Linked DNA regions of Sus scrofa. The protein of the gene in region 1 purifies or fractionates together with the protein of each later gene. This does not show direct contact. Links are inferred from orthologs where the notes say so. Each region holds a gene or a part of one and is shown on either strand. Other genes may lie near its edges.

Region 1 (3,646 bases):
GCCTGCTGTGAGTGCTTTCATTTGCTGTGTATGTTTGTGCAGCATTTAACATTTCTGTGTGCTGTGTCTGTGTGTTGTTTGTGTGTCCATTTGTCTGGGGCTTGGCTGCTCCATCGCTCACAACTTTTCTCTGTTTTCCTCCCTCCCGCTTACGGGCTGCTCTGTTCCCAACAGTCTTTCATAGGATTTTTGCTAATGGTGAGAGCTCCCTCTGCCCCACTTGGGCGCTGTTCGTGCTCCCTCTGCTCCCCTTTGCGGCTGCCCAGTGCATGCAGTCGTGGGAGCAAACCCTGTTCCCCTGCTTCCCCCGCCTAATTATGCCTGCTTGGCTTCCACCCTACCAGCCCTTTACCTGCTTGCCCTGCCATAACCTGCTTGTTTCCTGTGGATTCTGCCTGGCTGGCCATTTACGTCCTGGATTCTTACTCCCCTCATCATCAGGCTGGTTCCCTAAGTCATATTGTGCTCCCAGACTCTCTGTGACTTGTAGTCGTTGTTTATGATCTGAGTGAGTTCAGATTGGGCCTGGCTCTGGTTCCTCTTTCAGCCTGTGGCACGCAGTGTAGAAGAGTAAGGGGATAGAGCAGAGGTCTAAGTATTTTGGTGGATTACAAGCGAAACCGATTTGAGGGTATCGGTTCAGTTTTGAGCTATTTTTTTGAGTTTCGGCCAGCAAAGGTGGGTAAGAAGGAGGCTGTCTACTTGGTTGTATGTTAATCCTTCTTTTATCCATTGTCATCCAAGTTTCTGAGGTCTCTAAGTTGTTCCAGATTAGGAAGGGCTGCCTGTGTTTTCATGATGCTTACAGGGTGGCTGAGAGACCTAGACCAAATGTTTGCAGGTGATCAGGGATTAGAGGCACCAGGGCTTTGGGGAAGGTAAGCAGGTCAAAAGTGAAAGTTTTCCCTTAGACTGTGGTGTTCTTGTCAGCCCAAAGGTGCCATGCCACGTATCTGTTTGTTTAGCTAGCCTGGAGCCTTGGCTGCCACTGAGTTGGGGACCTTAGATGAGACGTGGTAGAGCTGCGAGAGGGGAGGCAGGTAGTGTTCATTTGTCTGGAGTTCCTGATGGGAAAGGGATAGGCTTGTGCCTGTTGAGGGTTAGGACTGCAGGAGAGAATTTGTCTTTTGGGAGCCTCTTTCTGGAGTGAGGCTGTGCTTTGTGGTTGGTGGTCAGATTGTGGGTGTCTCCCCTACTCCCAGTGGCTCCTGATACTATCAACAATCATGTGAAGACTTGTCGGGAAGAGCAGAAGAATCTCCACTTCTTTGCACCAGAATATGGAGGTGAGGCATCCCAGATTCTCCTCCTCGTGCCCATCCCCCAGGTTTTCCACCTTGACCTGTGGGTCGGAGGTAACCTAACTGAAACTTCTCTCCATCTCTACTGGCATGCAAAAAGTTTTAAGATGTCTCTGCCATCCCCTGATCCTTTGATTCACCAGAGCTTGTCTGTTTTCCCTAGAAGTCACTAATGTGACAACAGCAGTGGACATCTACTCCTTTGGCATGTGTGCACTGGAGGTGAGGAGACCAAAAGAGTGGGTAGTGGAAAGGGGTCAGATGAGAAGGTGGAAGGGGAAGTGGAGGGTTGACAAGGTACTGGAGGGAGTGATTGTGGGAGCACTGAGGATCTTAGGTCTCTGCTCTTCCTTTTTATTCTCCCTGACTGCAGATGGCAGTGCTGGAGATTCAGGGCAATGGAGAGTCCTCTTATGTGCCACAGGAAGCCATCAGCAGTGCCATCCAGCTTCTAGAAGACCCTTTACAGAGGGTAAGAATCTTTAGGATCACTTCCTCCTTAACAGCCTTTGAAATGTCTTCAGGTTTTTCTTCCTTCTGCCTCCTGGGAGTATGCTTTCTTCTAAGAGTAAGAGAACATACAGCAGAAGGGGCGAGCAAAGCAGTGAACATTGCCCTAGGTGTTTTTGGTATACACCCTCTCCCCCTCTCTCCCCATCTCTCTCCCCATCTCTCTCCCTCTCACAGGTTAGGGGTTTAAGGTGGGTAATATTGTGGAGTTTCCATTGTGGCTCAGCGGGTTAAGACCCTGAATAGTATCCACGAGGATGCGGGTTCAATCCCTGGCCTTGCTCAGTGGGTTAAGGATCTGGCGTTGCTGTGACCTGAGGCATAGGTCGCAGATTCGTCTCTGATCCCACATGGCTGTGGCTGGCAGCTGCAGCTCTGATCCAGCGCCTAGCCCAGGAACTTGCATGTGCCGCAGTTGCAGCCCTAAAAAAAAAAAACAAAAAAGTAATATTGGGATTAAAGGTTGTGTATTAAACCCAGCTGTGTCTACATGAAGGCAAACTAATTTGATGCTTATCTCAGGCAATTAATTGGTATACATACACTCTTAGACAACCATCATGATTTTTTTTTTTTTTTTTTTTTTTTTTTTTTTTTTTTTTTTTTGTGGTCTGTTTAGGGCCACACCTGTGGCATGTGGAGGTTCCCAGGCTAGGGGTTGAATCGGAGCTGCAGCCCCTGGCCTACCACAGCCACAGCAGCACCAGATCTGAGCCTCATCTATGACCAATTCAATCAAGATCTGAGCCGCATTTGCAACCGATTCAATCAAGTCAGTCATTTGGGGTTTTAGATATACATAGTTTTAGTTAGGGAAAGTGCCCTGAAATAAATGAGCCAAGATTAGAAGGATGTAGGGGTTATGAATCAGGACATCGACTGCAGTAAATAGAATCTGGAGGAGAGGGTCCAAACCAGAAAGTTAGTTTGTAACTCATTAGATACCTTAAAAGGGAGCAGGAGAGAAAAGAAGAAAGACGAAGTAGGAAGTCTTGAGGCTAGTCTGGAATATGTTTCTAGTTCAGTGTCAGGGTGGGATGTTCAAGTGCTAGAACAGGTATATGGCCTTATTGGCCTTCAGGATTGAAAGAAGGAAAGCAGGTTGATTGTCATGGGGACCTGTGGGAGGTGGAAAAGCGAGGGTTAAAGGAGGCATGAGGAAATACAGTGAATTGAATAAATGACATAGTAGTCAAAGGAAATTGTGGTAGTAGACTTGGGAAATAAAAAGATGGTGAAAAAAGACAAACTAATGCCATTTGTAGCAACGTGGATGGATCTAGAGACTCTCATTCTAAGTGAATCCAGAAAGAAAAAGACATACCGTATGATACCACTTATTTGTGGAATCTAAAATATGAAACAGATGATGCTATCTAAAAATAACGAACAAGAAAACAAAAAACATCATGGCAAGAAGAGCAGACTTGGGGTGGTAGGGGGAAGGGGAGGGAGTGGGATGGCTGGGCATTTGGGGGGTTTGAGGGATACAGACTTATATTTTGGTTGGATGGGCAACAGGATCCTACTGTACAGCACAGGGAGATGTGTGTGACTGGGTCTCTCTGTTGTACAACAGAACTTGATGAAAAAATGTAAATCCACTATACTTTAATAATAATAATAAAAAAGATGGTGAATATGGAGTTCCCGCTGTGGTGCAGTGGGTTAATGATCTGGCATTGTCTCTGAGGCTGCCTGGGTTCGGTCCCCAGTCCAGCACGGTGGATTAAGGATTTGGTGTTACCGTGGCTGTGGCATAGGTCGCAGCTATGGCCTGGATTTGATCCCCTGGCCTGGGAACTTCCATATGCTGCGGGTGCAGCTGGGAAAAG
Region 2 (3,741 bases), on another chromosome or scaffold:
CAACTTGCCCGACCAAAGGCTGGGTCTGAGTCTGAAACTGGCTTAGATCAGACTGCGGGAGACTCGTCGGTGCACTGGCGGTGCCTGGCGCTAAGGGGAGCCCCACGTGCTGGATGATGCTGCCGCTCCTGCTAACCGGCGGGTGGCTGCTCAGCTGCTGCGTCTGGGCCAAGGGCGCCGGTACATTTGGCATAGTAACAGAAGTGGTAGACACACTAGGCACGCTGGGAGCCGGAGCGGCTGCAGGCACGTTTGGAACTCCGGGCACCACGGCGTGAGGGGCTCCAAGTGCGGTCGACGGAGTGCCGCTGCCACCCATCTGCGGCGGAGGCGCTGGCAGCGGCTGCCCGGAGGGAACCAGGCCTGAGGGCACCGCGCCTCCCACTACAGCCGGTGGCACTGTGGCCGGTAGACCCGGCGCGGCCCCTGCGCCCTGTACGGCGCCGGGCCCCGGGGCCACGGCTTCACCCGGCAGGGAAGGCGCGCCCATCAGCTGCACGCTCGAGGAGGCGGCGTTCTGGCCGGTGCCCACCGGGAGGCTGGCCGCCGCGGCGGGGCTCGCTCCGGCGCCCGCTGTCGAGGGCTGCGCTGGGCTGGGCGGCTGCAGGCCGGCCACGTGGGGCTGCAGGTACTCACTTTGACCGGCGGGCTGCACGGGCAGCAGATGGCCCGGCGGAATATGAGGCTGAGGATATGCGAACTGCTGGGACGGCTGCGCGGCAGCAGCGCCGACCGCCGGGCCGGGCTGCGGAGGCAGGGTCAGGCCGGGCTGCGCCAGGGTTACATTCGTCAGCGGCAGGCCCTGTCCGTTGGGCCCCAGGGGCACGGCTCCGTGCCCAGCGCCCTGGGGCTGGCTGGGCGGCGGGGCTGCCATCATCTGCGGCGGCCCGGCAGCGGCTCCCGGGAACGGCGGCAGCGGAGCCGAGCTTGGAGCGACAGCCCCACCTACGGGCGGCGGCTGCGGCTGCGGCTGCGGCTGCCCAACGCCAAAACTCTGCGGCGGGGCCGGGGCGGGTTGGCTCATTTTCTCCGACGGGGGTAGCTGTGACACAGCAGTCAAGGAACTGTCAGTTCCCGAGTCGGGCCCGTGCGCCCCAGGCATGGAGGCCACCACCACCACCACCGATCCTCCGGTGGCGCCCAGGCCGCTGTCCCGTTCCGCAGTCTGGTCAAAAGTATTGCTGTGCCTAATACAATCTCCGGACCGAGTCAGGACACTGCTATCGGAATCCCGCTCATAGTATTCCATACACGTCCATCGGCCGCGTCTGTAAGGCTCCCCGCTGCCGTGGTCCAGCTTGATCACGCGAAAACGGGAGCTACAAGTGGTAGGGGGCTGCGATGGGGCGGCAGTCCCCGGCCCGGCGGAGGGGCCTGCGACAGGGGGCACGCCGGGGGCCCCCGAAGAGTGGGCCGAGGTGGCGGCCGATGCCAGGGTACTGGCCAGCACCCCAGCCACGCTCCGGGTCGAAAGGGCTCCTCCTCCGTTAGCGGGAGCGGTCGCCGCGGCCGCCAGCTGCCCGTCCAGGAGGAGGTTGGGGGAGACGGTCCCAGGGGTCTCCGCATCCCCAACATTGTTGAGCGTCTCTTCGGAGGAGCTGCGCTCGCAGACTTCCTCGGGCCCGTAATCCGTGGCCCGAGAAACGTCGAATATCTCGGAGGAGACGTCCTCTGTGCGTGACTCGTCCGGGTCGTCCAGGCTCTCAGTGTCCTCAGTGATGCTAGTGGCCACCTGGGCCGTGGTGACACTGGTTATCTGGAAGCAGCTCTTCTTCTTGGCCGGCATCTTGGACATGGTGAGGAAGGCTGGAGAGCAGAGTGGCACGGCGGCTCCTCTGCGATCTTGCCGGAAACCAGGAAGGGCAGAGCACCGGCCCCCAAAGACAAAGTCCGGGTCCGCACCGGGGTCTGAGGCCCGACGCTGTTACGAGTCACGGGCTGATCTGGGCACCGGCTGCTCGGTGAGACATCCTCCTCCCGTTTCCTTCTCGATGTCGGTTTCTCCGGCTCTGCCCGGGTCTCACTCGCGCGGCGGCTCCTCCTTCCTTCTCGCCTCCCGCAGCCGCGGCGCCTCAATTCAATACCCCCAGTAGCGGCGAGAGCGCGTTTCCAGGGGCGGGCCGGCTGCTTCCTCCTCTTGTCTCCGGGCTGCCGTGGTCAGTCCAGCTCGGCGCTCGGCGCGGTCAGCAGGCCTTGGCTGGGGGTGGGAGTGGGAGGGCGAAGGGGAGGAGGCGGCGGCGGCGGCGGCGGCGTGAGGGGCGGTGCTGCCCCGCTCCGGCTCCTAGAGCCAGTGCCGGCGTCAGCTCCGAGCTCTCGGACGCCGAGGGTGGACGGAGAAAGAGTGGCGAGTCCGGAGCCGGGATTCCTGATTCAGCCAGGCGCCGCGGGCGGGCGGCGGAGCTTCGGCGCGGGCGGGCGGCCCTCCCTCCCCGGCTCTAGCCGGAGCTCAACCCCAGGGACATGTCGACCGTCTCTGGCGGAAACCCGCTCCGGGGGAGGAGAAAGCCGGCTCGGTCCTCCCCTTACACAGGGGGAGCCACCCCCGCAGGCGGGCGGCGGCGGCGGTCTCGGCCTCCCCTCGCGGCTCTTGAGAGAGTGAGGGGCGGCGGCCGGCTAGCCGGCGAGCGGCGGCGCTCCAGCTGTGTGAGGTAGCGGCGGTAGCTTCTTAGGCTTCTCCTCGGTGCGCCCAGTTCGCAGGTCCTGGAGAAACTGAAATTCAAACTGCTGAAGCGACGGCTGCAGCTCCCTCCCCTCGGCCAAGATGGGGCTGAAATGGCCGCGCCAAGGATGCTGGGAGTAGCAGCAGCCCCGCTGCTGCCGCCGCTGCTGCCGACTAAAATGCCGCCGCGCCGCAGCCACCGCCAGCGCCGCAGCCGCCGTTCCGTGACGCACCGGCGTCGTGACGTCACCGCCCCGCCTCCTCCGGTTTCCTGCAGTTTCGCGTGGAGGCTGGGGGGGCAATGGGCGGGGCTAAAGGTTAAGAAAGGGGAGCGGTTTTTTATTTAAAAATTTTTTTTATATTTTGCTCTTTCGGTCTTTAAGAGTTGAACAACTAAAAACTCTAAAATTCCAAGCCTAGAGAAACTTCCAGCCGCGCCAATCGAATGTTTTTATATCAGTTTTTTCCAAGACACTGGAAGACTGGAGATCATGTGCTTACTGTGTCTAATGTTTAGCAAAATCTTAGTGAAACAAGGTGATGGGAATGGGGGTTGGGGTATTTAACTAGAATAAAGAGGGAGGCGGCTGGAGGAACCGAATCACCTAAAAAGTCTTTCCTGAAAATAAATGTTATCTATTATAGTCAGAGGAGTGAAATGTTGAGAGAAATGGGGATGATTAACCAAGAATAGCAAGCCAGACTGAGTCAGAAAAAGGATCTTTCAGCCAGAAATTCTGTCTCAGGCAATGGCATCAGAAGATGGTTACTTGCCCAGGCTGAGGTCAGTTTAAAAAAAGATTAGAGGTTACCAACATATTCCTAATTTTCTTGAGTTTGTTGTGATTCCAGCATCGAAGAGTTCATTTAAACATCTTGAGACTGTTTTTACTTTCAGCATGAAATCAGCTTATGGGCTCCATAAATGTAGAACCTACTGCGTTAAATAGTTGTAGTTCTTTCTTTTGTTTATTCTAAAACTCTTAGTAGGAGCCAGAGTGTTAGATGGTTTGGATTGGGCCATGAACAATCAGAAAACGTTAGAAAGCACCCTTTCCTGTCCAGAAGTAGCTATGAAAGTA

The links. The genes of interacting proteins can lie anywhere in the genome.
Region 2: the proteins of NRBP1 (region 1) and TSC22D2 purify together in Homo sapiens (affinity purification with mass spectrometry; 5 studies listed by BioGRID and IntAct, with this or other methods). This does not show direct contact. The link is inferred for Sus scrofa from reciprocal best matches to the Homo sapiens genes NRBP1 and TSC22D2.

What each region holds. Positions count from the first base shown.
Region 1 is NC_010445.4:111,722,970-111,726,615, reverse strand, and holds part of NRBP1 (nuclear receptor-binding protein), read left to right. Parts: intron 1-1,202; coding exon 1,203-1,286; intron 1,287-1,464; coding exon 1,465-1,523; intron 1,524-1,674; coding exon 1,675-1,773; intron 1,774-3,646. UniProt on the Homo sapiens protein: Required for embryonic development. Plays a role in intestinal epithelial cell fate and proliferation, thereby involved in the architectural development of the intestine potentially via the regulation of Wnt-responsive genes.
Region 2 is NC_010455.5:90,639,592-90,643,332, reverse strand, and holds the start of TSC22D2 (TSC22 domain family protein 2), read right to left. Parts: upstream 2,839-3,741; 5' UTR 1,796-2,838; coding exon 1-1,795. UniProt on the Homo sapiens protein: Reduces the level of nuclear PKM isoform M2 which results in repression of cyclin CCND1 transcription and reduced cell growth.